3 linked regions of the Sus scrofa genome follow. The protein of the gene in region 2 purifies or fractionates together with the protein of the main gene of each other region. This does not show direct contact. Links are inferred from orthologs where the notes say so. Each region holds a gene or a part of one and is shown on either strand. Other genes may lie near its edges.

Region 1 (9,407 bases), on a different chromosome or scaffold from region 2:
ATTTGTCTATTGACATAATGTTTCCGAAGACCTGACACTCTGATGTTCCGCATTGGAAATCATCATGTTTTATCCAAAAACAAATCATTTGAGCCCAGAGAGTTCCTCCTGATGTGGGACTCCTGACATCAAGCTTAACTTCATACCTCTCTGGAGATTATAACTACAGATTATATGGAATGGTAACTGTGAAAACACTTTAAAGAAATATGAAGTTCCTTGTAAATGTATAATATGATTTTTATTGGGAAATATTTGTTTTTTAGGGGACAGTATTTATTCAAAAACAAACCTCCTGATGGGAATGCTCCTCCCAACTCTTTTTATAGAGCACTTTATCCTAAAATTATACAAGACATTGAGGTAAGAATATATGTATATTTGGGCATTTGCCAAATACTAGAGAATCATCAACATTCTTCAGTAACAGCAGTGTTATAGCAAACCCATTAAGGTTTATTGATGTGGGTTAAAAATCAGTTTCTTCACAAGTGAATAGGGAAGATAAAATATAGTAAATTGCCAAGCAAAATTTTAAAGCTTTTAAGTTATTCACTGATAAATACATGAAAGAGAGTATGATAATAGCTTTAAAACTGTTGAAGTTGCACTTATAAGCTGTCATTCAAATATCTTCTGAATTGAGCCTCTGTGGAAGCTCACTGGTAGAAATGGCTACCACAAATGTAAGATGAGCACTGAGCAGGTAACCTCATATGAGTCATAGCAAGTGGCAAAATATTTTACAACTTTAAATAGTGGCTTTTTAAAAATATCTTTAGGGAGTTCTCTTGCGGTGCAGCAGGTTAAGGATCTGGTGTTGTCATTGCAGTGGCTTGGGTCACTGCTGTGGCTCAGGTTCGATCCCTAGCCCAGGAACTGCCACATGCCGTGGGCATGGCCAAAGATTTTTAAAAATAAGAAAGTTTTTACATTTTTAGTATGTGTTAAGTTCTGTGTATCCAGTAGAGTAGAGCACTGAGCATTTGTCATAGGTTGCCATGAAATTCAGATGAGAGTTTAGTTCCCTAAAACTAATTACAGCTTCTTTACCCATTCCTTCCTCTCAGACGATAGAATCTAATTGGCGATGTGGAAGACATAGCTTACAGAGAATCCACTGCCGAAGTGAAACGAGCAAAGGAGTCTACTGTTTACAGTATGATGATCAGAAGATAGTAAGTGGCCTTCGAGACAACACAATCAAGGTGAGGTCTCTTCAGTTATGGGAAGGTGGCTGAAGGGGTGAGGGGGACTACAATCCCTAAAGCAATCCAAAGCATAAACTCTAAGCAGTATTTCCAGAAAGTAAGTGAGAGTCCCAAAGCCAAAAATCGTTTCCTTTAAGGAAAAGTACCTGCTTACCCACAGAAACACATGCAAATGGGTAGTGCTAAGGTTAAATTCTCTTCTTGAAGTGCCCTGAATGGGCTATTAGTCTTTTGGCCCTCACATAATTATAGGCTACCCCTGTTTCCTTAATGAAAAGGATCAAGTCTGCATTAGTACTGAAGCCACATATATATAGGTGCTTCGCTATACCTATAGAGAAGAATGCATTCCACACTACTCTGGGCTTTGATTCTTTTGGGGACTCAAACACAAAATAGAGCCAGCAAGTCTCTGCAGCACCCCATTATCATAGTGATCAAAAGGATCTTGTTTGCCATCCTAGATCTGGGATAAAAGCACATTGGAATGCAAGCGAATTCTCACAGGCCACACAGGTTCTGTCCTGTGTCTCCAGTATGATGAGAGGGTGATCATAACTGGATCGTCGGATTCCACAGTCAGGTAGAAAATTTCAATAATCTTTAGAACTCTGAAATGTCAGGTGTACTCTATTCTGTCTTAGTAATTTTGTATATATGTGCATGAACATAGTTCGAAAACTTTATAACTAAAGAATAAACCATCAGCTCCCTCCATAGTTGTGTTAATCTAGAACTAGAAAACTTGATTTAGGAATGGTTATGATAAGTTTACATTTCTGCACATTTAAGAAACTATATATTCTGTTTTAATTTGGGGGAATCATCTCTTATAGAAACGTGGTAAACCTTGCATTTCTTACAAAAACCACCTCACAGGGGAATGACATGAGTGGAATGGAGCCTTCCTTTCAGGTGGTTATAGCTATAGTGCAGGCACGCATTATCTCCTTTAAAATGTGTACAGGTGAGCAGTACTCTCTCTTTGCCAGCCCCTCCCCTGCTGTCCCTGCAGTTTTTAATTGCAGGCTTCACTCAGGGAGGGGGCTTCAATTTCCAGAGGCATTAGTAATTTGATGACACAGCCATTATGCTGCTGGAGTCCAGTGTAGCTTGAGTTCTGGGTACCAGCAGCACTGCTGGAAACCTCTGTTAGGAATTTTGCCTTGAGCTAAAGGGTTTAGCAAACATAATGCATCAAAAGTAACTTTAAAAAAATAGAAAAAAAAAAAAAAAGCAGTTAACTGCATTGTTAGATTCTCTGAAGTTAAAAGTTTACCTTCCAAGTTATCCTCTGTAAATAGAAAAGGCCATTTCTTTTTCTTGTCTTTTGACTTAAAGGCATAGCAGACTCAGTTCTTAGAGTTATCAACATTTAACATTTATTGATGCTTATGGAGTGCCTCAAGGAAGCTGAAAGTTAATAGAAGCTAACATCATTTCTAGGATAAGGGAAAAAATGATTTCCTGAAAGAGGGGGTTAAACTGGAAAAAGAAATAAAATGTGTTAGTAAAACCAAAGTAAACGTACAGAAGTAGAGTGGTCAAAGCAAAATATATCCTCACACAGCAGTCTCAAGCTATTCAAGGGTCCTGCCCTCTGCTGCGAAACCTATATATATATTGGGGTGGCCATTCTTGATACCTACCCTCATTTAAGACACAGAAATGGGGCCTTAGATTTAGGGTCTAGGTAATCTTAGGCCTTGACCTGTGTGGTAAAAACCAAGATCCAGAGTCGTCAAGCTCAGATCCATAGTACTGAGTCATCTGTTAGAGAAGTTTCTTGGCCTCTATCTGTTCTAAGACCTGAGGGCTGCCTCTTGGGACCACCAGTGCTGCAGTTATTAATTAAATATATCAGATTGTGGAGTTCCCTCATGGCCTATTGGTTAAGGATTCGGCATTGTCATTGCTGTGGCTCAGATTCGATCCCTGGCCTGGGAACTTCTTCATGCCATGGGTGCAGGCAAAAATACATATATGCGTGTATTTCTTAAATTTTAAATTTTTCTAACAGATTGAGTGTCAGAAGCTTTATAGTCATCTCGAAGTCTGGGGCCAATTAGCTGGTGACTGTGGCTGCAGGCTCATTCCTGCCCCCAAACAACTAGCACAGATTTCCAAGTTGTGTATCTTAAGGATTTCACACTGGCAGCATCCCATCCCCTTCCTCTTCCCACTCTCACAGTCCAGTCGTCTGTGTACCACTTCCCCATGCTCCATCAGTGCACTTTACCGCAGCTTAATCTCAAAGCTGCAAAAGGAGAGTAGGGTGCAACCCTAACTATGAGATTAGCATGGGAGGGGTGTAATGGATTGTAGCTTGAGGACCACTGCAATCTCAGATGATCTTAATGCTGTTTGTTCCAGGGTGTGGGATGTAAATACAGGTGAAATGCTAAACACATTGATTCACCATTGTGAAGCTGTTCTGCACTTGCGTTTCAATAATGGCATGATGGTGACCTGCTCCAAAGACCGTTCCATTGCGGTATGGGATATGGCCTCCCCAACTGACATCACCCTCCGGAGGGTACTTGTTGGACACCGAGCTGCAGTCAATGTTGTGGACTTTGATGACAAGTACATCGTTTCTGCATCTGGGGACAGGACTATAAAGGTAATAAGGCCTTTTTTAATAAGTCCCCAGCTTGAAATAGGGGAGTTCATATGGAAATCTGATCAAGGGCAGAGTGTCTAACCATCTCTGTAGAATACTTAATATTTAAATCAGATACTAGTTTATGTGTAAAAGGTAATGAGAGAGAAGTTGTGTGACAATTTTGGTTAGGTATTTTATTCCTGTAAATAATGCTGAGTATGAAAAAGACAAGGGTAAATTTAGGTTCAAGAATTAGTCTGCAAGACCAGACTAACCCCATCAGAGTATGTTAGTTTGAGGAATTCTCATGTAATAGCGGCCAGCTACAAATTAGCCCTTTGTTACTTTTAATTAAACCTGTCAGTTTTTGATTTGATTTGGATTGGTTTGAGAAGTTAAATTCCCCCTATTAGTCCAGTTCTATTTTTCTGCTTTCCTAAGGCTCCATTTTGCCATAGATTTTACTAGTAAAAGCACCAAATCAACTGCCAAGTGCTATTTTTGTTTTAGGTATGGAACACAAGTACTTGTGAATTTGTACGGACCTTAAATGGACACAAACGTGGAATTGCCTGTTTGCAGTACAGAGATAGGCTGGTTGTGAGTGGCTCATCTGACAACACTATCAGGTGAGCAGCAAGTGCCCTTGCCCAGAAGGGATCAGTATTATCCTGCCATTCATTGTTTGCACACAGATCAAACAAATCTCCAACTGTGTAATGTTTATGATAAAATGTTTTTCCTTTCTGTAGCTTTGTACAGGTCAAAAGTTTGCCCCAAGCAGAGAGGAAGCACAGCAAAGCCTTTTGTTGATGTGTTTCCTCCCTATAATAGTTTTATCACCGGATAGACCTATTTAAAAAGTACTGCTGGGAGTTCTCTTGTGGCACACTGGATTAAGGATCTGGCATTTTCACTGCAGTGACTTGGGTGGCTGCTATGGCGTGGGTTCAATTCCTGGTCTGGGAACTTCCACATGCCATAGGCGCAGCCAAAAAAAACCTAAAAATAAAAAATGAAAGGTACTGTTTGAATGAAGAAGTGGGCGAGAGAGATTAAAATGGAGGACTTTCTCTTTAAATTTCTCCTGTCTACAGTTGAAAAGTAATAATAAATAGCTAAAGACCTTTTCTCTTTTTCACTGTTCTTAAAAAAAGTAAAAAGATGTTTCCCTATTAGAAATGGCACATTTTGTTTGCTTAGCATTGCCTAACTGACCAAGGAGTTACCAGTCTTTGAAATTATGAAGAATCCACAAATTGAAGTGTCTTTTGGTGTTTTCCCTTCAGGAAGATGAATGACACACATAAGAATTTGGAAGATTCATCAGCCCTCTCCCCTCCAAAGAAGTACTAAGGGAATGAAAAGACCATTGAAAAAATAGCAGAGCTATTGTTATATCTAAGGGAATTATCATTCCTAGAAATCATTGGAATTAGTCACAAAGCATACAATTTAAATTAGCATATAAAACTTTTTGAGAACTTTGCAATTTCATTAGATGAGAAAAACTGTCCTAGATAGAGGACAAAAGCAGAGAGTGTCCTCAGTGACAGAGGTGGACATACGTTGTGAGAGAAGGATGTCACTGATACTGTGTTTCTTTTTTCTTCTTCTTCTTTTTTTTTTTTTTTTTCCTGTTTACAGAGCATCTGTAGCATATGGAAGTTCCCAAGCTAAGGGTTGAATCGGAGCTGTAGCTGCTGGTCTACACCACAGCCCCAGCAATGCAGGATCCTGGCCACATCTGCAACCTATGCCACAGCTCACAACAATGCCGGATCCTTAATCTGCTGAGGTAGGACAGGGATCCAACACACATCCTCGTAGACACTAGACACTATGTCGGATTCTTAATCCTCTGAGCTGCAGTAGGAGCTTCGGGTGTTTCATTCTTATTAACTTTGATTTCAGGAAACATTATTTTCTGTGCTTAGCTGTTTCCTTCATAGGCAACTGTATACATTGAATTCATCCTCTATATATTTTTTTGTCTTTTTTAAAATTTTATTAAATATTAGGGCCGCACTCGCAGCATCATCCTCTATATTTCTTTATGACCCTGATTACAGAATTATATAAGGCTTGATGCTTTGAAAATGTATACTACATATTTGAATTAAATTGTACATATTTCTGCCCAAGTTATATGGCAGAAAGGAAATAAATTACATTAAAAGCAATAAATTTGTGTATTATGAGTGTGGATTGTTTAAAAAGATATATGAAGTATGTTATTATAACATTCCAAACTTAGGAAAGAATACATGAAAATTTCCTTGATTCAATTTTCTCTTTAAGATTATGGGACATAGAATGTGGTGCATGCTTACGAGTATTAGAAGGCCATGAGGAATTGGTGCGCTGTATTCGATTTGATAATAAGAGGATAGTCAGTGGAGCCTATGATGGGTGAGTTTGCCAAAAGGGTTGTAAAAGCATCTACTTCTTAATCCCTCCTGCCTGAGGACATTTAATATAGCCTTCCTCATCTCTAAAAGATTACAGATATCACAGAAAGAGTCTGATACAGTATTTCCTATGTCTTTTGTATATTCAGCTCTCCTTTGTTTACTCTTTTCCAAAATATTCTTCCCAATCGTTTAATTGTACTTTTTTGCTCATGATTTTCATTAATATTTGGGGGGGGTCGTTATTATATATTTGTCTGTTTTGCCCTATAAAGCGAAGAGCCAGATAAACCCAGTATATCAGCATAAGCATGTAAAAATAGTGACTTATTAATAAAACTGAAATGTTGGCAGATAGTATCTTTGAGGGGGCTTAGGATTGTAGGGTCTTGAAATTTTATCCCTTTGAGTGATTTCTAAAGTATAGCTCTCTTGTCTTTACTACCTAGCATTTTATTCACAATGAGTTCAGTAATTCTTCTTTTCCTTCGGTCTGATTTCCAGTGGTTATAGAGTCCATTCATGTTGTGGATAGATCCCATGTCCAGCAATGCTAATATGCACAGAGTAAATTCTTATAAAAGTATGTTCACTTATGAAATGCTCTCTATCATTTCTTCTCTTCAGGATGCCTGATTTAGGGGAGTAGAAGGCCACAGTTCAAATATTGGCAGCTTTGTTAAATATTAGAAACTAATTTAAAATGTTATCTCAGTTTATGAGCTGGCTATATTGATAAAGACAACTCAGACAGCAGTAAGTGTTAACAATCCCACTTCCTTTGAGTCAGCCAGCACTGTCATACCCTTGGGGAATTAATTGTTCAGGGTATGATAACATGTCCCAGCTAAGTCCAAGGTTGTATTTTTTCATTGCTCTGGTTTTGATCTATACCCACGTTTTCTTGGGTTTTGTCTGTTACTTAACCTTGAGGAGACATGACCTATAATTGATTTTCAGAAGGGGTAAACCTTTCTTACTTAAATCAAAATAGGAGAATTTGCTTATATAAACTCCAGAGCTCTTAAATGGACCCCAGTCCTCTGGCACAGGTGACTTGGGCCATTCTTAGAATTGACCAGAAGAAAAATGCCTAGGTTGTAGGTTTATTGGTCTAAGTGAACTCTCATATCATGGAGAGTTCTAATATATAAGATCTCCTCTTGGCCATAGAGTATGGTATAACTTTACCATTCACTATCTTCAGTTTGGTTAAAGCCAACCTGTTTCTTGTTTTTAGGTCAGTCATGTACATTTTCCCCTTTTAAGACCAATAAGCTCTACCTAAGAATGAATGCAAGAACCGAGTCTCCAAAACAAAAAAGTTTTTGTATATTCCTGTGAGCTACGTTTATCATAAACTGTCTTCAGTGTGCATATTGATTGTCATGACTTTTTGCTATTCTTCCTGTGTTCTAATTTTTCTTTTAACTAAGTTTTTTGTCCCCTTTTTGATGTTTAGAAAAATTAAAGTGTGGGATCTTATAGCTGCTTTGGATCCCCGTGCTCCTGCAGGAACTCTCTGTCTTCGGACCCTTGTGGTAAGAGCCTTGTTCACTGGTTTGGGGAGCAGGAAGAGGAAGAAATTAACATTGATGTGCTGTGGAATACAGATCTGGATTTGATAGTTAGAACTTCACAAAGCTTACTACTAAGTGGAAAGGCAACCAATACATGACAATAAAATATGTTTATATAGCTGCCTTTCATCCAAAAGTACTTTAGAGACTGTATATGGAGAGGAATGTGGCAGCTGTTCAACAGCTGCACAGCAACTCTGCACAACAGTTTAGTACAGGAAGTGAATAAGAATTCTGTATCCACCAGAAACAGTAGGGGGTACTTAGGTAGAGAGAACATAATTACTCAAATTGGAACCTGTCCAGAATCTGAGGACCTGCACACCTGTGCCTGCAATAAGTGCCATGGGAGTCTACGCGAACCCCCGGTCATCCCCAAGTTCCACTTCCTATTTAAGGCATGCTGCTTCCAGCAATTTGAATCCTGTTTCTTTTATTCTAATATTCCCCTTCCCTGAACATCTTGACATCTGGGGAAAGAAGTGACTCAGAAGTAAGAATTTCACCTCAAAAGTGCCAAGTTCTTTATCAAAGAGTAAGCCAAAGGCCCAGATCAGAAAATAGCCTAAGGTTGAAAGCTGCTTCCTTTAGCAAAAGATAGGTGGGGCACCAGGGAGGACAGAATCTTTTGCACAACTCAGGAAAAAGATGAGAGCTAGCATTTGAAGCCCAATGTTCTGAATCCTGACTCTCAACTCTTCTGCTCCGGAGAAGAGAGAAGTGCATTTCTTTGTCTTCCTTGTTGGGATTTAAAACTTACTCTTTCAGCACCAGACCTGATTTACCTGCATGTTTCACACATAGGTTTTTAAAATGCATACTTTCAGGGGAGTTCCCTGATTAGGATTCAGAGCTTTCACAGGTCTGGCCCGGGTTCAGTCCCTCGTCTAGGAACTGATATCTCACATCTGGCTGCTGCACACCAAAAAAGCAATTATAAAATATGTACTTTCTTTCATTTACAATTAATCTGTGGAGTTCCTATCATAGCTCGGTGGTTAATAAACCCAACTAGTATCCATGAGGACTCGGGTTCAATTCCTGGCTTTGCTAAGTAGGTTAAGGATCCAGCATTGCTGTGAGCTGTGGTTTAGGTCGCAGATACAACTCAGATCCCACATTGCTGTGTCTGTGGCATAGGCCGGCAGCTACACCTCCAATTAGACCCCTGGCCTGGGAGCCTCCATATGCCTCAGGTGTGCCTCCCCCCAAAAAAGACAATCTAAGCCTGGTTTTTGAAGTATAATTTATGTACAGCAAAATTTGTCCTTTTTTTAGTGTACTTTTATGAAACACCACAATCAAGATGTAGAACATTTCTGTCACTGCAAAAATGATGCCCCTTCATATTAATCCTCTCTCTCCAATCCCTAGCAAATATCCCTACAGTTTTACTATCTTATGAGTGTCATGTAAATTAGATCATACACTATGTATTTTTTTTGCTTTTGGCTTTTTTCACTTCATACACATTGTTGTATGTATTAATATTTTGTTCCTTTTTATTGCTGAGTAGTATTCCATTGTATGGATGAACCAATTTCTTTATCTGTTCACTAGTTTGGAATGTTTCCAGTCTTTGGTAATACTGAAAACATTC
Region 2 (9,905 bases):
TGATACTGTCTGGCAACTCTGTCTGATTTTCCTGGTATGTTTGCTCTCCTATTCTCCCACAGTACGATCTCCTGGCTTCAGCTCCTGCTCCAAATCTCCTTTACTCACAGCTGATGGTCTTTCCTCCTCTTGCAGGAGGGGAACAGAAGCCAGCAGACAAGCGCTACTTTATCTGACCACGACCCGACACCCAATGACCCACATCTGGACTCACTTTCTCTATCTTCTAATTCAGGTGGGAAAGGGTCCTTGCTTCTGCTAAAGGCTAGTCCCTATACCTGGGTTCCAGGGCACTCTCCCCTGTGACTTTTCCAAGGAGCTGCCTCCTCCAGTTCTCTTTCTCTGCATCTTTGGTGCTCCTTCATGTGACCCTCAGTGATGCTCACCTCCTGGTTTTCACACCCTTGCAGCATATCTCCTCCCCTGAGATGTGGGTGGAACCCAGGATTCACTTCTAACCAAAAGAATATGGCAAAGATGATAGTTATATTGGTACCATAGAGTTATGGTACCTTAAATGTCCATCTCACCAGCAGACAGGGGCTGACTTGATGAAGGAAGAGGTCATGTTGAGGAAACCATGTAACCACACCCTGCAGGAGGGGAGACAGGGGTGGGAGAAAGAGGCCCTAGAAGCTGAGGGCAGCCTACAGGTAACCAGCATCAAGAAGCTGGATCCTCAGACCTACAAAGCAAGAGAATGAATTCCAAAAAACAACCTGAGTGAGCTCAGAAGTGAATTCTTCCCCATTCAAGCCTCCCAATAAGAATACAGCACCCCTAACACCTTGAGGGCTGCCCTGTGAGACTCAGCAGGAGACCCAGCCAAGCCTGGCCCAGACTCTAACCTCCTAAGCCCCAGATACTCTTTGGTCCTAAGCCAAAGAGTATGTGGTACTTTGCTACACAGTAATAGAAGGCAAATACACTTCCTTCACCCAAAACAGACCACAACACCATGCTGTAGTCACTGCACTAGAGTCTACTGTATTCTGTCTTTAAAAATAAAAATCCAGACCATGTGCCCTCCAGATTCTCCTCCTTCTCTTTACTCTCCTTTCCAACAAGAGAGTTTTAAAAGAACTCGAAAGTTTTTTATATGTCTCATTACACCTTCACCTCCAATTACTGCTCAGCCCCCTCAGGTCACATCCGTGACTTCACAGTCTTCTGTTAAGGATACCAATATGTTCCATATTATCTCATCCAAATAAGCATGCCTCTATCCTTATCTTACTCAGTATCCCAGTGGTACCTGACAAGGTTCACTACTCCCCAGTTTCGTAATGATTTCTTCTCTTGGCTTAGTGGATTTTCCACTTTCCAGTTTTCCTCTGACCTGTTTAGCTCCTGTGTCTCCATCGTCTTTAGTGGCTTCTCCTCCCACACCCAAACTTAAGTAGGCTGTGCCCCAGAGTCTGGCCCAAGGCTGTCCTCCGACCTGCTACACTCACTTTCCCGTCCCCAGCTTTAAATGACATCTACGTGTCTCCCTGCTTTTTCTCTCGAGCCCTAACCTCTGCTCTCAGCTCCATCGCCTACCACCCTCTGCCCACTTGCACTTTCCATGTGCATGTCTAAGCATCATCTCAGACTTTACATGCCCCAAACAGAATACCTGATTTTTCCCCTCACAAACAGCCGTATTTTCCCAGTTTTCCCAATCTCAGCAAATGACACATCTAGCCAACCTTTACATCGGGGCCTTATCCCGGAATTCTTTCTTCTGTCACCAGCCCCCATCCCACCCCACACACACACACCTAATCCATCAGCAAGTTATCATAGGTAGATCTTCACAATGGATCCTGAATTTGTCCTCTCCTAACTCCACTCTTAGTCCAAACTGCCCTCAGCTCTCACAGGGACTGCAGCAATCACCACCTAACTGACCCTCCTGCTTCTCCCTGCTGTCCTCTATCCTCTACACAATACAACTTTATTAAAAATACAAAGCAGGAGTTCCCTGGTGACCTAGTGGTTAAAGGATCCAGCATTGTCATGGCTGTGGCTCGGGTCTGATCCCTGGCCCAGGAACTTCTGAATGTTCTGGGCACTGCGAAAGAAAACAAAAACAACCACTTTGCATGTCTTCACTGCTTAAAACTTTTCAAGGATTTCATATTCTACTTTAAAAAGGCCCACCAAGGGAGTTCCCTCTCTGGCACAGTGGGTTAATGATCCCACTTGTCTCTGTGGTGTTGCTGGTTCAATTCCTGGTCCCATGTAGCTGTGGCATAGGTCACAGCTCTGGCTTGGATTTGATACTTGGCCCAGTAACTTCCATACGCTGCCCATGTGGCTGAAAGAGGGGTGGTGGGAGGCCCACCAGGGAGTTCTCTTGTGGCACAGCGGGATATGGATCCAGCATTGTCACTGCAGTTCCTTGGGTCACTGCTGCAGTGTGGGTTCAATCCCTAGCCCAGCCCAGGAACTTCCACATGCCACAGGCACAGTCCAAAAAACGGGGGGGGGGGGGGGGAGGTGGGGAGTTCCCTTCCTGGTATAGCAGAAACTAATCTGACTACTATCCATGAGGATGTGGGTTTGATCCCTGTCCTTGCTCAGTGAGTCAGGGAACTGGCATTGCCATGAACTTTGGTGCAGGTCGCAGATGTGGCTTGGATTCCACGTTGCTGTGGCTGTGGCACAGGTAGGCAGCTGTAGCTCTGACATTCGACCCCTAGCCTGGGATCCTCCATATGTTGAGGATGTGGCCCTAAAAAAAGCAAAAAAAGGGACCATGTTGCTGGCCTTTATCTGCCTCCCTGACATATATCTAGTTCTAGCCACACGCACTCTTTTCTCTTTCCCACCTCAAGCCATCTGCAATAGTTATTCCCTCTGCCTGGAAAGATCTTCCCAAGCTGCCTGTCTCTGATCTTAGAACAAATGTCCCCTCCTTGGGAGTTCCCTTTGTGGTGCAAGTGGAAACGAATCCAACTAGTATCCATGAGGATGTGGGTTTGATCCCTAGCCTCACTCCCCCTCCTTGGGAGTTCCCTTTGTGGCGCAGTGGAAACGAATCCAACTAGTATCCATGAGGATGCAGGTTTGATCCCTAGCCTCACTTGATCCTTTGGGTCAAGGATCTGAAGTTGCCATGAGCTGTGGTGTAGGTGCAGAGGAGGCTCAGAACCCACACTGCTGTAGGTGTAGCATAGGTTGGCAGCTGTAGCACCCACTGGACCCCTAGCCTGGGAACTTCCATATGCTGTGGGTGTGACCCTAAAAAGCAAAAAAAAAAAAAAAAAAAAAAAAGGAGAGAGAGAGAGAAACAAACAAATGTCCCCCTCCCCCTACTAACTTTCTCCTTCTCCTCCTAGACCCTGAGATTCCATGATTTCCCTCATCCCATGCATAGAAATCTCCAGTGCCGTGCTTATTTATTTGCTTGTTTGACTGACTTGTTCTGGCTCCTCGTACTAGATGTAGGCATCTGGAAGGTGCTTATTGCTGTGTTCTAGACTAGTACCTGGCACATGCTAGGTGCTCAATAAATATTTGAATATATGAATGCATAAATATGCATAAGATATTGACATGCTCATATGCATTAGAATAAAATGAATCTGGGAGTTCCTGTGTAGCTCAGCAGGTTAAGGACTCAGCATTGTCACTGCAGCCATTTGGGTCGCTGCTGTGGCACAGGTTCAATCCCTGGCCTGGGCACCTTCACATGCTGCGGGCAAGGCCAAAAAAAATATTAAAGAATAAAAATGATCCTGTTTTATTCATGAGAAAGCCTCTTTAGATGCAGTGTCAAGAATGTTTTAAAGCAGTAAAAGATTGTAAAAATTATACCTCAAATGACCCAATATATAAATTCCTAAAAAGTTATGGGCAAAACATTATAAAATGAAGCCCATTTTGAAAGAATTTAAGGGCAATTTGTTTGGAGATATGAAAAATCTTTTTTGATAGCGTGAATTATCACACCCTAGTTCTTTTGTTTTTATAGATTTGGGTTGTGGTTTTTTTTTTTTTTCCTACATTGGGTTTGCTTTGATCACAGAGCATAAATTATAATTAATTTTTTATCACAATTTGTGCAACCGCTGTTCAAATCACAAGGCATCTTTTCAGCATTTCTGGACAAAAATACTAAGGAGTCACTACTCTTGTTACTTAATGTCACCAATGCCATGTGACTTAATTCCAAACCCAGCTATATCCTGCAGTGACACAATGCAGGCTTTTTATTCGACCATGGTAATGAGTGTGTTCATGGTCTGGATTCCAACAAGCAACTGTCAAAAACTATCATCCCAAGTGACTACTGGCTGGAAATTTCTCACTCCCAGAGCTGGTACTTCCAGGGTGGTCTAGGAAAGAAATTTGTGCCATGTCTACTCTGGGGCTATTCTAAATGCTGATGTTTAACATTTCTTTGCAACTGCAATTTCATGCTTTGAGGAGCTGACTTTTTTTTCTGCAAGCCCCTGACAATTTTTTATAGTCTATATCTATTGACTTCATTTGTTTATGTTTTTCTTTCTGATATACAACAACTAGTAGTTATTCTGTTGATTTTAGGCACCACTCTTCAGAAAAATCGCTCACTCCATAGCTTACCACTTGCTGCCCTCAAAACTTCTTAGCAACATACACTGTGCATGAACCTCAACGTGGTTGGCTTTGTCCAATCACATGCCTGAAAGCCCAGCCAGTCAGTTGTGTAATAATAAACCCCTTATCTCCTGAAGATACACAAACGGAAAGATCTCTCGGTGCTTCAGTGCACAAGGGACTTCTCTAGAATTCTCAACAGAAACTCACATCCATTTTAAATGCCAATTTCCACACACACACACTTTCTCTGATTTCCTCTTTTTCTCTCATCTGCAATGTCGAAGAGAGGGGAAAAAAACCCAAATGCTAAACAATGTCGAGTTTAAACGCGCGGTGGTGGGGTAGCGGGTACTGCCAAAACCTGCCAACAAAATGCAGATACAAACCCAGGGCTTGCTTTTTGCTGTACTGGGTTTACCGGTTCCCTTACAGGCGCTTGTGATGGAAACTCACCGACAATTGTTCTTGGATGCAGACGGGGTTGAGAGATTGACAAGAGAAGCTGTTTGCTAGTTTCTATGAGCTTGACTAGCCCTCAGAATACGAGGAGGTGGACACTCGGGCTTCCTCAGGGAAGAATACCCCCTCTCACTGCCTCCTACCTCGCCTGTCCTCACCCGCCGCAGGTCCCGGCGCAGACCTGCGCCTACCTGGTCCCAACTCCAAGTTCCCCGCCTCACCGGGGAGAAGCGTCCTTTACCCGCACTCACACCGGACAGCGCAGCCGCCCCTGCCCAGGAGGAAAGGGGGAGCGGCCGCCGGGAAAGGTGCTGGGGCCCGAGCGGTGAGCTCATCAGTCCCCTCGTTCTGCCCCGCGCGGCCGCCTGCGCCGCCGGACACACCCCTCCGGGCCCGGCCTCTGCGGTCGCCGGTCCCGGCCTCAGCCCGCACCGCGCCGGGGCCCCCGGCCCCTGCCCTCCCCGCGCCAGTGGGTCCCGCGCGCGCCCCCGGACCCGGCACGCACCTTCAATGTGCCCCGGGCCGGGCCCTTGGGAAGCGCGCGACCGGGGCCGAGGGCCACGAAGCGTTCCTCGGCGTCCTCGTCGTCGTCTTCGCCGTCCACCACCTCGACGACCACCTCCTCGTCCTCGTCTTCCTCGTCGTCATCCTCCTCCTCCGCTCCCCCTCGGGGCTTTGCCTGCACCCGCCCGAGCCCCCTCCGCCGCCTGCTCCCGCCTTCCTCGTCCTCGTCTTCCTCCCCTAGCAGCAGCAGCACCGGAGACGAGGCGGCGGCGGCCCCGGCGGCCCGAGGGGGGCCGGTCCCGGCGCTGCGCGGCGTTGGTAGCGGCGGCCTCCAGCTCTCCGGGGCCGGCGCCGGGGCCGGGGCCGGGGCGGGGGGCGGGAGCCCAGGCAGCGCGCCTTCCCGGGCCGGCGCGGACGCGGGGCCGGGCGGCTGCAGCGCGGCGCTCCCCCGGCGGCTGCCCAGGCTGGAGCGCTTGGCTAGACGCCGCGCCTGCATGCCTGACCGCGGGCTGCCGGCCGCCGCCGCGCGGAGCCGGAGAGTTTGTCACCTCCCCCCTCCTCCTCCTCCTCCTCTTCCTGCCCGGGCGGCCGCTATGGTCGCAGGCGCCCGGGGCGCGGGGCTGCGGGGAGCTGCGGGGGGCTGCGGGTGCCGCCTCCCCGGGCCGCCAGCTGCCACTGGCTGCAGAGACGCGGGCGCCGCCTTCGCTGGACCGGCCTGCGGGGACGCCGGCGGCCGGCGGCTACGGCGGGGCGGCGCGGCGGCCGCGGGCGGGGGTGGGTGTGAGCGAGCGGCGCGCTGCCGCCTCCGCCGCCGCCGCCGCCGCCGCCGCCGCCCCGGAGCCACGGGCCGCGCTGCGCTCCATGCGGCCGGCGGCCGGGCCCGCGCGCTCCGGGCCTACAGCTGCCGTCTCCAGGCGCGAGCTGTTTGTGTTGTGTATTTTCCACCACCGCCCCCCTCTTCGCGAGCCATTCCTCGCAGCCCTCCGGTCCCCCCGTGCAGACAAAACCCGGACTGGATTTATTTCCCCTACCCAAAGCCTCCGAAAATCGGGTGTTTCCAAGCCTTCAGCCCAGCCGGGGAGGGGGGCGTGGGGGGGGGGCACGCTTAACGCGTGGCTGCTTATTCCTTTCCGAGGGAGGAGGATCGACTTCGCGGGAAGTAAGGTTGTTGGTCAAAGTCTGACTTTGAAGGGAGAGATTTGCCGCAAGTCGTTTAATGGTCTACCTGGCAAGGCGATTTACTCTTGAGCTTATGTGACATCGGCAACGGTGTACCAACTCGAGATTTGGGGTCAGCTCCTAACATGAATCATCAGACTCATGTGGTTGTTTGAGGTTCTGTTTCATGACATTGCCTGCTTTGAACACACCATTCTAGGCCCTGCCTGTTGGGCTCTCTTGGCACTGTGCAAAGTCTTGCAGCTTCTCGTTCTGCATTTTTACCTTGAGTGCCTGCTTGTAACAACTAAATTCCAAGAAGGCCGTGGGCTCTCACCAGTCAACGTGTAGATTACTGGCCCTTGGAGAAATCAAACAGGATGGGGAGGGGGCGGCTCAGTAATTACTTGAGGTTGTTATTTTAAAAATTAATGTGAAGTATGATCAAGTATGGAAACCAAGCGCATAACCAGCTGGACACAGAACTAAGGACATTGTCCGTTTCTAAGGATTTTTAGGTGTGAGGAAGAGAAGTCATTTGCTATTGTTTGGGGTTAGCAAACAGTAATTAATGCCACATAAGCAAACAGCTTGTATCGTAAGCGGTGTTCTTTGTACTGAAATCACAAGCCAAGTTCCACCTCTGTAGGTGAGGGCTGAGGAGGATCTCACTCATCAAATACTCTGGCAGGTGCCTCCAGGAGACTAGTGTAAACGATGTCCCCACCCTCAGCTCCCTCTCACGGTAATGACTGTGGGAGATTTAACATCACGCTTACACTTGAAGGCAGCTCATTAAATGTTCACTCAGGGTGGCTTCCAACTGTTGAACATTTCCACTGGGATGGTGACAGAGATTCTAAAATGAACTTTCTTTTCTCCCTGAATCAGATTAGCTTCCTGATATACCCATCCGGCTAATGACACTCTCATTATAATCATTAGGGCCCAAAATAGCAGTATCATGTTAACTCTCTTCTCTAGCTTATTCCTAGAGGTAGTTCCCCACAAGTCCACTCCACTGTTCTCTCTGAACTGCATCTTGAATGCACCCCTTCCTTTCCATTCCTAAAGCTCCTACGAAAATTTCATGACAACAAAAGTGAAAGTTTCAGAAGTTCCCTTGTAGCTCAGCGGGTAAAGAACCCAACATAGTGTCCTTGAGGAGGCAGGTTTGATCCCTGGCCTTGCTCAGGGGGTTACGGATCTGGCATTGCTGCAAGCTGTGGCATAGGTCACAGATGCAGCTCCAATCCAGCGTTTCTGTGCCTATGGCGTAGAATGGCAGCTGTAGCTCCAACTAGACCCTTAGCCTGGGAACTTCCATATACCTCAGGTGTGGCCCTTAAGAGGAAAAAAAAAAAAAAAAAAAAAAGCGAAAGTTTCCAACAGGCTCTCTACATCCAGTTTCTCAATAACACACCCTCCCCGACCCTGTGCAGACACAGCCATCTGATGCATCTTCCCCTAACTTCATTCAGATCAAGACATTTTCCCCTTGAACTTTTCATTGGTAAATATTCCATTCCAGAATTTAGAAAGAGAAAACAAAATGGTTTGAGCATCCTAAGAGGTGGGTGTGCTTGATCAAAGCATGGAACATCAGGGGTCAGTCAAGAAGTAAACTAATCAGTGTCAGTGAGTGTTTGCAGAGAAGGGAAGAGGGTCACTGAAAGGGTTTCATCTCATCTGCAAGAAATTTACCTTGGTTAGTTTGGGATATGATTTTAGAGAAAGGCAATAGGGTCTTTCTCTGACTAGGAAGAATAAAGATCAGAGGAAAAGCATTGGCTGACAGATACAGGGAAAGTGGTAGAGGGGAGCAAAGGTGTTAGTCAAGTGGACTAATGGTTAAACACATGGTCTTGGAGTTCCTGTCATGGCTCAGTGGTAACGAACCCTACTAGGATCCATGAAGATACGGGTTCAATCCCAGGTTCTGCTCAGTGGGTTAAGGATCGAGCATTGCTGAGAGCTGTGGTATAGGTCAAAAATGTGGCAGCTTGGATCCCACGTTGCTTCGGCTGTGGCATGGGCCGGCAGCTGTATCTCTGATTTGACTCCGAGCCTGGGAACTTCATATGCCATGGGTGTAGCACTAAAAAGCAATAAACAAACAAGCAAACAAACACATGGTCTTGGGAACCAGAGTACCTGGGTCTGAATCTTGGCTCTGGAATTTACCAGCCTCATACCATTAGTCACTCTCTCTGTGCCTCAGTTTCCTCATCTGTAAAATGGAAATAATAGCAATACCTATTTATTTGTGGGTTTTTTTGGTCGCACCCGCGGCATGCAGAAATTCCCAGGCCAGCAGTGGAACCTGTGCCACAGCAGTGACCCGAGACACGGAAATGGCAATGCTGAATCTTTATCCTAATGAGCCACGTGGGAATTCCAGTAGTACCTGTCTAACAGTAAACGTGTTTTGTAGGATAATGAGTTAATATATGTAATCATTTTAGAAAAGTGCCTGGCCACAGGGAAGGTCTATACAAGGGCTTGTATACACACACACATACACACACACACACACACACACACACACGTATACACACACACACACACACACATATATATATATATATGTGTGTGTGTGTGTGTTTGTTTTTCTTTTTGCACCTGCACCCATGGCATATGGAAGTTCCCAGGGTAGGAGTCAAATTGGAGCTGCAGCTGCCACCCTACACCACAGCCATAGCAATCCCAGATCGGAGTGGCCTCTGCGACCTACACCATAGCTCATGACAATGCCAGATCTTTAACCCATTGAGTGAGGCCAGGGATCAAACCCGAGTCCTCATGAATGCTAGTTGGGTTCATTACCACCAAGCCACAACAGGAACTCCAAGGGCTGGTTATATTAAATGAATGGTGGTACATAAACGAAGGGGTTTGTGGGTACTGTCAAAGAATAACAAAGCAGCTCTATTTGAACAAGCTCAGAACCATCAGTAACTACAAGAACCTGCTTTTAAAGCCCAACTACATCTTATCAATGGGCTATTGACAGTACAAAGATAAGCTTTTTATGTCTAAAATTGCCATAGATGATGTTCTCTGTGATCTCCTGAAAACTGGGAGGAAATACAGAATAAAGTGAGTTAGTGACTGGTATTTGTGGTTTAGTGGAAGAGGTACTAATTTACACCATTGCACTTTCTTCCAAAATCACTATAGGTGTTTGGAAATCAGCTTGTTCTTTCTCTCAG
Region 3 (10,093 bases), on a different chromosome or scaffold from region 2:
CAAAGCTACAACTCAGGAGTTTCACTCTAGAGCCCATGCCCTTTGCGCTAAATCATGCTTCTCTAAGGTCCACAGGATCCTTAGAACTCATCGACTGGTGAGTTCCCATCGACAGATATAAAAGGAATTTGGTTTCCTGAATACTCTTCTATCAAGCACTGAGATGTATATAAATCAACGTGTATGTGCACAGAAGTCTGTAAAGAATGGTTACAGGGACTATGGATGTCTGTGTGCCACACACCACCCCCCTCCCCCCCTTAGCAGTCTTTCTCCTCTGTTCATCTCCACCTTGGCCTGAAGATTATCAAAAGGAAAGCTTCAAATGGTTTCACAGCATGAAAAAAAAAAACCAACCTAACATTAATTTAATCAATATCTGTCGCACAGTGAAGCCTTCAAAGGATAATCAGATATGGCCTCTGCAAGGGAAGCTTAGACACAATCAAACTTTTATGATACACAGGAAGGTCTAATATGTCCCATAAGAGTTAGGAACAGATGATTATGAGAATAAGTGATAGAGAAAAGAATTTCCAGAAAAGAGGATGGCTAAGATATAAGGCAGAGAGCAATAATACATGTAAACAATCAACAGGAAAATTCAACTCAACATTTACTGAACACCCACTACAATAAGGCACTGTGAGGAGTTTATTATTTAATAGGGGACACAAACAGGAAACTGTAATACAAGCCCAGAATGTTAAGTGCCACAAGATAAATACAAAGTGCCAGAAGTCATTCATTTCGTTTAACAATGATTATCGTGTAAGCAGTACTAAAGATATAAAAACAAAATGCTATCTGCCACCATAATACAAACTGACATCAAAAAGAGGAGGCATCTAAATTGTGTTCTTAGGGGATAGGACTTTATCAGCATAGGTGGAAGAGAAGATTCTTGAGATGTGCCCAAAACCAATTTGGCCAGAGAGCCAACTCTTACTTAGGTCCTTCCATTAAACTTCAGAAGCCTTTGCTACCTGGGCTTCATGTTCATGCTGACAAAGGAAACACTGAGCAGAATCGGAAGAACCATAGTCCTCCTTGCTTTGGCTGGAGTACAGAGTAAGTGAGGAATGTGGGAAGAAAAAGCTGGAAGGCAGGATGGAACTGGAGTGCTTGAAACACTTTCTTTCCCTAGACTCCAGGTACCTCACAGTGCAGAAAAGTTTTTCCAAAATTCATAGGACCAAACAGTAGTGCTCAGAGGGAAATGTGTGCTATTCCGTAAACCTATGGAACACGCCAGTGATGCTCCTGGGGGATACAGTGCTCTCAGTTTTCCGGGTACAGCAGTTAGAAGCCAACTCTTCTGAGGAATATCATGTTTATCCTGGTCAAATCTGAAAGGACATCTAACCTACTCCAAAACTGGGTAAAAATTGAAAATATTTGAGACAGTATCCTGAAGCAGGTCAGTGAGGCCTATAAAATATGTAATTTATTTCATTGGGACCCTACTTAAACCTTTGTCTATTTAACTGCATTTGGTATCTCAGCACATGGCCAGAGGCAGATGCAGATAAGTGATGGTGACAAAGGAAGACCCAACTGCTTAAAGTCACTTGACAATCCCACTTACTCCACTTAGAAAGCCAATGACAAGAAGGGGGGGGGGATCAAAAAGTAAAAGAAGATAACTATTTCCAATAAATCACTTCGTTTCCTTCATCTCCTTGGCCTTGTGGCCAGTCTGTGCTCTGATAGCTGTAAAAATAGAAGTGATTATTAAACCTTCTTAATAAAGTCCAATTGTATTTTCCCTCCTTTACTATGTTCACCTAGTAACATAACCCCTCAGAGAAAACAGAGAAGGGAAATGACTCACTTAAGGTCACTTAGCAAAGAGGGGGAGCCATTCAGCAGCTAACAATAGAGTACAAAGTGCTCATTGCTTGACTAAAGGAGGGGGGAGGGGTACGCTCGCACGCACCCACCCCAGAAGCAGGATTATCTTTCCTAAATTTTTACATCAACTTCTATCTTCTAACAGGTAGGACTAAGCTTTCTCTTCCATTAGCAGCTCTGTGAGTGCTTTCTAGTAATATGTGCCTGAACATCAACTCATATTTCCAACTCAAGTGTTAAATATCATGTGATACACAACGAAAGGTTTTCCTTCTTTCCAGGGAGGTCTAGCACATTAGACAAAGCCTGGGGAACTTTTCTTAGTGTATTTCCAAATGGATTACTACTTTTCTACCTTGTGGATAAATAAAGCTAATTTTATCAAAATTGGCAGTTTGAAAAACAGTCCCACAAACTAGGTACAGTGTTAGGGCCATATAAGGCCGTGAAAGACATGCGGTAGTTAATTATTCACCATCAGCAAGCATAAATTCAGTTGTCTCGATCCAGAATTTATTGTCTATATTAAAGACTGAATCCGGAGTTCCCGTCATGGCTCAGTGGTTAACGAATCCAACTAGGAACCATGAGGTTGTGGGTTCGATCCCTGGCCTCACCCAGTAGTTTGGGGATCTGGCATTGCCGTGAGCTGTGGTGTAAGTCGCAGATGAGGCTCGGATCCCGCATTGCTGTGGCTTCTAGTGAAGGCTACAGCTCTGATTAGACCCCTAGCCTGGGAACCTCCATTTGCCGTGGGTGCGGCCCTAGAAAAATACAAAAAGACAAACAAACAAACAAACAAAAAAGACTGAACCCTATGAGGGAGGTCAGCTGGAGAAGCTTTTTGTGGACCTGGCCGCAGACCAGGGTAGGAGTCACAATGGAGGTTATATTTTGAAGATTTAATTATTCTGCTATCACCAGTTTTATTTCCTAGTAAACTAAAAAAGCACAAGGAAAAAAGGGAGAAAGAACCATAATCAAAGAAAGTAGAGGGAGGAAGGTTAAGAAACTGGTAAAACCCAAGAAGTCTGCTTCCTTCCTTTGATATAGCACACTCTGGAATATGAAATGAAAGTTATCCTGTTAACCATTAAGTACCGAACTGGTACAGGCCGCACAATCACAAATATTTGAATACTGAAGCTGACTCATAAAAATCTAAAAATATTTCATGCTTTAGGCTTTCAAAATACCACCAGTTTAACCCCTTCCCCTCCTTTCATCATATTATTTTGAAACCAATGTAAAAAAATTTTTTTTCTTAACCTAGTTTTGGAAACTGTAATGAAAATGCAATGAATACAGAAAGCCACATGCAATTGGATTTTAAAGCATTATCATTCCTACATCTGATCCGGGATTCAGTAAAGTGGTTGTTAAGTACCTGTGCTATCTACTACACTAAAATAAACACACAAATGTTCATCAAAAGGATTGCCTAAGAGTCTTAACTGGTAGCTCTTTGAGGGAGTATCAAAATCCATATATGAAAAGGCATTTTAAAATTGATCTAGATAGCTGTTAAATTTTTTTGTTAAACTATCTTAAGAATCCCAGTTTGTAAAGCCCTTGAAAGAGCTGAAATATCTTTTCAGATCACAGACACAATTATGTAAAATCAAAACTTTTTCAATTTATAAGCATAGGAAACCAGTATATTTAGGTCAGAGATTTTTTTTTTTCTACATCCACTCAAAACACTAAATGGATTACACTGTATTCATTTCTAATTCTCTTCAAAATAAAGACATTTTAGTTATTGTTTTAATGGCATGTAAATGGAAGGAGCACTGAACACTTTCAAAGAGGTACCAAGTTACAATTTTCTTTTTCTTTTTTTTTTTTTTTTGTCTTTTTGCCATTTCTTGGGCCGCTCCCGCGGCATATGGGAGATTCCCAGGCTAGGGGTCTAATTGGAGCTGTAGCTGCCAGCCTACGCCAGAGCCACAGCAATGCTGGATCCGAGCCGTGTCTGCGACCTACACCACAGCTCACGGCAACGCCGGATCCTTAATCCACTGAGCAAGGGCAGGGATCGAACCCGCAACCTCATGGTTCCTAGTCGGATTCGTTAACCACTGCGCCACGACGAGAACTCCCCCCAAGTTACAATTTTCGATATGAAGCACTCCTGTTGTAAATACATGTATTACACATACATGTAAGCATATATACTATATATGCAATTCCAGTTAAGATATTTTACTAAAATAACCCCTTACAAAATTTGCAGATTATCAAAGGCTTGATTACAAAAGTTTGATAAACTTTACTGAAAGGAAAAATTACTTAATAAATTACTTAATAAATGAAAATCAAACTTATGGTGACAGTATCCCTTAGAAAGCAACCACACCAGTGCGCGCACGCACACACACACCCCAGAAACTACCAGAGCTTTTTTTCCCCTCTAGTTTTCAAGACTGCTGAAGAAGTCTAGTGAATTATGCAAAGGACAGCAAATATTAAGCTGCCTCCATATTTATGCTACTGTACTTCCATTTTTAAAACATGCACCTCAACTCCCCAGATACCATCATCCACAGACACCATGCAGCTATCCAACAGACTTTCAATGTCACCATTTATTATTTATAGCATTAAATGGGGGAAGTGGCTCTGATGTCACCGACCCTACCCAGTGGAATCACTGACTCAATAAACATTTTCACACTGGAGAAAATCTGGCTAGGAAAACGTTTTGCTGTGTTAAGTAGATTCTTTCACCTTTCCTCTCAACCTTAGAGTAGAAGTTGTTACTGTATTAGAAGAGATACAAAGAAACTGTCAAGATTTCCACAGGAAGAAAGCCTGGGCCTGTCCATTTGCTGAGGCAAAGAGCTTCCCCTCCCAGCTCTCCAGAGCCCAGTTTGATTTCCCTAGTATTCCAATTGGCAGGTAATAGCTATCATATTTTATTTCTTCCACCAAGTCATCCACCAAAGAGCAAGTTCTTCGTTTCTACTAGCCACTCTCTCGTGGCCCTGTTTCTAAAAACCTTAGGCTCCAAGTCCCAAGGCGGAGGGGGGGTTGGGATTCGTGGGGCCAGAGGGTCTGGCCTGGGTACCAAAGGTTTCTAACAGAAGAGTGATCGATTTCCCAGGGGCCTAGGATTCTCTCCTACTCCTTTTCTAGAAGAAAGAACTGGCGGCGCAGATGAGGACAAGCCCTCTTCCCCCTCCCCAATTTCCCAGAGCGGCTCTGGAAAACGTGAAGTTACAGTGTCTCTTTCCTGGGAGATGGAATCCAGAGTACCTGGGGCCTCGCTATCCAAACATCCCTCTCGGCCGGGTAGGAAACCCTTTGTCCGAGAAGCCGGACACCACAGGGGCCCAGGAAAGAGGCCCCTTATCGGTCACAGCCTCAAACCCGAGAGCTCCCCACCTCCACCCCTGTAGGGCCTATGCCGGCATCCACACAGCCCTGGCTTGAGAAGAGGGTGCTGAGAGACCCCTTCTAGGACGCAGAGGCCGAGACCCCAGGTCGATCTTCTCTGTACCCCCTCCCATCACCATCTCACTCGGCCTGAGTGGGGCTTGCAAGAGCGATGCAGGCCTGGCCGGAGAATTAGAAAAAGAAAAAACAGAAAACCCCTTCTAAGGGAGGAAGGAGATGCTTGAGCGAGTGTGAGCTAAGGCCACAGCACAAGCGAGCGAGGGTCGTTCCAGGGATGGGCCCAGAGACAGGAGAGAAGGGAGGGAGGGAGGAAAACCGAGGGGCATGGAGGGGGCCGGACCAGGTCCGGCCTGAGATCTCGAGGGATCCGGAGTAAAGCGCGCCGGGCCGGAGGGCCCAGGTTCGGGCCGAGGCAGCGGGGAAGGGCCAGGGCCGGCCTCGCGCCGGACGTTGAGATGGGCAGGCCCGCCCGGGGCCGGACGGACGGAAGAACGGACGGTCCAGCGGGCCGCACTCACCATGAGCTCGATGGTCTTGTCCTCAATCACCGAGTCGGGCTCCATGGCGGCCCTGGCGGCCCCGCCTCGCTCTCCCCGCGCAGCAGCGAACGGCCCGGGCGGAGGAGGCGACGGCGGAGGCGGCAGAGGCGGAGGCGGCTATCGCACCCACTCTAGCTGCCAGCCCGCCCGGGCCGCCGGCAGCTCCGCCCTCCCCCTCGGCGAACGCAGTACGCAGAGCGAGGACTACAGCTCCCGGCAGGCGCCGCGGGTCCCGCAGAGCGTTGTGGGAACGAGAAGACCCCGCCAGACCAATCTCTCCTAGCCGTCCGAAGCTGAATTCTCAGCCGAAAGTAGCACGGGACTGCGAATGAGAGACGTGCAGACCTAAAGAATTACGGGCTTCCTCAAGGTGGGGCTTCAGGTGCGCGCCTACTACATATCCCAGAAAGCCCTGCGCGCGGGTTCTCTTTCCGGCTAGTTTCTTCTGACTTCCTGGCAGCCCGAGGCTCCCCGGACCCGGACGGAAACTCCAAGGCAACTCTTCACTTGCCAGCGATCCTGCGTGCGCGACCGATTTCCGCACATGCGCGGTCTGTGCCTGCAGTGCCCGCTCGACACCTAAGTAACGGCACGGTTGGTCTGGCCTCTGTGGCAGGGTGAGGTGTTGGCGACAGGTGGGTTCTAGGAAGGGATGGTCTTGGGGCTCAAGTGTCGGAGGGGGGCCAGCGAGCGAGAGAGCTCGGGCAGAGAAGGAGGCTCTGAGAGCATGGGCGTCCCAAGAGTGGCGTCCCAAGAGGGGTTTGGAAATTTAGTTGAGAAAGAGGAGTTTTGTGGTCTCTGTGCACCACGTACTGGGAGGAACTGAGAGGTGAAAGAGAACCTATTATTCATTCGTTTAGAAAGTATCTTTTAAACTTCCAGCCTCTGCTCGTCACTAGCCTAGGCCCTGGGAATCAGCTCTGATCCCTACAGACAAGGCTTCTCTTCTCACGCAGCGTAATTCTGGTAGGGGGAAGACAGACATTAACCATAAGAAGGAACACAGCTGGAGATGCCCAGTGAATTCTGCCTCCAGCTCGGTATAAACCTTATCAGGTCTGTCAGTAACCTCAAACCAAAGACGACAAAGGCCCGCTGAGAATTAACAGGTTGGGTTTATTGCTGGTTGCAGAGAGAGAGAACACACACCATGAAGAACTGTGGGGCATCTCAGGAGGAGTTGTCAGGTGATTTGGATGAGGGTTTAAGAAAGTGGGACTTTACCCTGGATAAGATGCTGTCAGAAAGTGGAGGTAATTTTATGATTGGGCATCTCAGTAAATGTTATCTAGACGGAAGGACTACTAGACGAGGCTGAAGTCCTGATTGGTAGAGAAGCAGGAGTCCCTCATTACCAGAATAAGGGCTATTTGGTCATTTTTTGTGGTTTGAACAATGTCCCTGTTTGATCTGTGTTCAGATTTAATTAGGAGTGGTTTCGCTTTTGTATTGGTCTATCATGGCCATAGAATGGCTTTGTCTAACATTTATGTTCTATGAAATTAGGTTCAACAAGAAAACACGAGGCCTAGCTAAGAGGACCAGGCTATCATCTAGTAACATTACTGCCTGTTTGATTGTATCAGGCCAGCTGCCAAATGTCAAAGGCTACTGTTCTCTTTCTCAAGTGTTTTGCATTTTCTGCACCTGTAAAGGGAAGGGACTAGATGACCTCTAAGTCTTTCCATTTCCAAGCACCGAATTGCTACAGTAATTTGTATGCATGCAGGACACAGTGTAAGTTCTGTTCAATACAGTTTTAAGTTTAATGGCCCTTATCCGATGCTTTCTACTTAGGGAATTGAAAGAAAAGCAATAGGAAGAACACAGAATTAAAAAGCTATTATTCCTAACATGGTGTCTGAATTTCACCAGACCCCTTTGCCTCTCTAGGCTTTGAGACATTCATTAGTTAAATAAAGGGATTGGAATAAATGACCTCTATTTCAGCTACCTATTGCATCATCATAAACTACCTCTAAGACTTAGAAGTTTAAAATAACAGTGCTTTCTTATTCTTTGCAATTGTGTGGGTTAACTGGACTCAGCTGGTCCCACGTAGTATAAGCCGAGATTACTCATGAGACTGCAGTCAGCTGGGAGCTCATCAAAACAGCTTCCTCATCCTCCAGGGCCTCTCTCTTTACCTGACTTTTTACCGTTCAGGCTTCTGCATGGTGACTAACTTCCAAGAGGACAAACCCCGTTGAGCAAATACTTATCAAGCCTCTGGTTGCACCACAGTTGTTAGTGTGTCACTGGCCAAAACAAGCCATATGGCCAAGCCCAGAGTCGGGGTGGAAGGGTCTACACAAGGTTGTGAATACAGAGAGTCGTCGTGCATTGGGGGCCCCCAGTGTAACAGTAATCAGGGCCTTTAAGGGCCAGCACTTGTCACAGGACCTAGCAGCTGAGATTAGGATAGGAGTCACAGCTGAATATGAACCCCTCCATGTGTCTGTTTATCCTGCACTGTCTTTTTTATTGTTTCAAAATTTGATAGTTTCACATTTTAAAATCTGAATTTCTAACTTCTCTTGGAAAGTTAGACTATTCGACTATCAGATCTGCATGGCAAAAATATGCAGAAGTTAAGTAGCAATTACCTTCTTTGTTCAAAGCATGTACGCTATAGATTGCCACTGTTACCACAGCTCCCTGTTGTCTTTACTCATTTAACTTGTATGCTGAATCCATATAGATATTTGAGCTTGCAACCCTTGGCAATGGGACTGTAATGGAGATAACTCAAGGTTTCTGTCCTTTTATTAAAACCATATCCCACCTTAAGAGGAGAAAATACTAATATTATTGGGTCAAACTCCAGGAGCTCAGTGAGATGAAAAAGTTATTATATAGGACAGAAGTTGTTCCCAAGCTGTTGAAGAGGCAGGCTTATCACTTTGTTCTCTCCTTGTCTCAAACAAGATCTCAGGTGCTCAGGTATTTTTATTGACTCAAGCTTGATGCCAGCTGGTGATTAGATTTGGTCATCTATAAAGGCAGAAGACCTTGAGGCATATGTTCCCTCTATTTTTCAGATAGCTCTACACAGATAGCTAACAAAAAAGAAAGCTGGTACAGGTCTACAATCCCTGAACCAAAAACCTGAAGTCCAGATATGCTCAGAATTCAGAACTGTTGCGATTGTACAAAGGCTGTATGATGCACATACTATATATATAATGTAACACCCCCAGTGGGTTCTAGGTCAGCATTTTATAATCACATACATTGATTTTCTGCAGCAGAGCATATGTGTGCCTACTATCAATTTATAGCCTCTCAGTTCCAAATCCACCCTTCTTTTCCATTCTTTGAAATACTGGAGTAGGGCCCTGTAAGTATTTCTCCCCTGCCAGCTGGCACAGTGTTGACTGCTGTCAATACAGAGACCTAGAGGGAAGCAGCCAAATGAAGAGTCTTCTTTTCCTCATTCCAGAATATTTTCTTTTCCTTCTTGCCCTTGTGGTGGCACACGGCAGCAAATAGTCTGCAGAACTGTTATCCCTCTCTCAGCGCACACACACTTCACCATCCAACAGGCCATAACTGTCCTCTTTCTAGTGAAGTCTGAATCCAAGCTAACAGTGGAGGTGAGAAGGCTCTTTCAAAATTGTCCTTCCTTGAGTATTCAGCCTCACCCTATACGTAGTGGCTATTCCCTGTAACGATTATTTCTGTATCCTTTAGACTTGTCTTTACCCCTTAGTACTTAATACCTGTTACCAGTTAATATTTAAATTTTCTCAAAAGAGAGAGTGGCAGATGTGAGAGTATGTGACCTCCAAGACTGGATCATAGACTTGTGGGTTCCTCTTTGCTCTCTCCCTCGGGTTACTCGCTCTGGAGGAAGCAAGCTGCCGTGTCATGATGACACTTGAGCAGCCCTATGGGATGTCCATGTGGTGAGGAACTGAGGCCACCTGCCAACAATCAGCACTAACTTTCCAGGCCTATGAGTGAGCCATCCTGCCCCAGTCAGTCCTTCAGATGACAGTAGCCCCATTCAGTTCTTAACCTCATGAGAGATCCTGAGCCAGGATCACCCATCCAAGCTACTCTTGGATCCCTGACCCACAGAGACTGTGTGAGATAATAAACAATTGTCATTTTAACCTGACAAATTTTGAGGTTTTTTTTTTTTTACACAGCAATAGACAACTAATAAAGGTACCCGCCCCAAAAAAGAGCTCGTTCAAAATACTGAACGCAGTTCTCTTTTAATCTAGGCCCTGTAAACCCTTGATAGAGCTTTGTGTCTTTCCCTTTTTTATGAATACTTTTGAAGGTAAAGAGCA

Evidence for each region.
Region 1: the proteins of ZNF704 (region 2) and BTRC purify together in Homo sapiens (affinity purification with mass spectrometry; 3 studies listed by BioGRID and IntAct, counting the BioPlex papers as one, with this or other methods). This does not show direct contact. The link is inferred for Sus scrofa from reciprocal best matches to the Homo sapiens genes ZNF704 and BTRC.
Region 3: the proteins of ZNF704 (region 2) and FBXW11 purify together in Homo sapiens (affinity purification with mass spectrometry; 4 studies listed by BioGRID and IntAct, counting the BioPlex papers as one, with this or other methods). This does not show direct contact. The link is inferred for Sus scrofa from reciprocal best matches to the Homo sapiens genes ZNF704 and FBXW11.

Annotation. Positions count from the first base shown.
Region 1 is NC_010456.5:112,562,991-112,572,397, forward strand, and holds part of BTRC (F-box/WD repeat-containing protein 1A), read left to right. Parts: intron 1-266; coding exon 267-363; intron 364-1,070; coding exon 1,071-1,208; intron 1,209-1,675; coding exon 1,676-1,794; intron 1,795-3,584; coding exon 3,585-3,834; intron 3,835-4,326; coding exon 4,327-4,445; intron 4,446-6,117; coding exon 6,118-6,228; intron 6,229-7,689; coding exon 7,690-7,768; intron 7,769-9,407. UniProt on the Homo sapiens protein: Substrate recognition component of a SCF (SKP1-CUL1-F-box protein) E3 ubiquitin-protein ligase complex which mediates the ubiquitination and subsequent proteasomal degradation of target proteins. Recognizes and binds to phosphorylated target proteins.
Region 2 is NC_010446.5:55,735,275-55,745,179, reverse strand, and holds the start of ZNF704 (zinc finger protein 704), read right to left. Parts: upstream 6,150-9,905; 5' UTR 6,032-6,149; coding exon 5,537-6,031; intron 1-5,536.
Region 3 is NC_010458.4:52,208,529-52,218,621, reverse strand, and holds the start of FBXW11 (F-box/WD repeat-containing protein 11), read right to left. Parts: upstream 6,222-10,093; 5' UTR 5,817-6,221; coding exon 5,772-5,816; intron 1-5,771.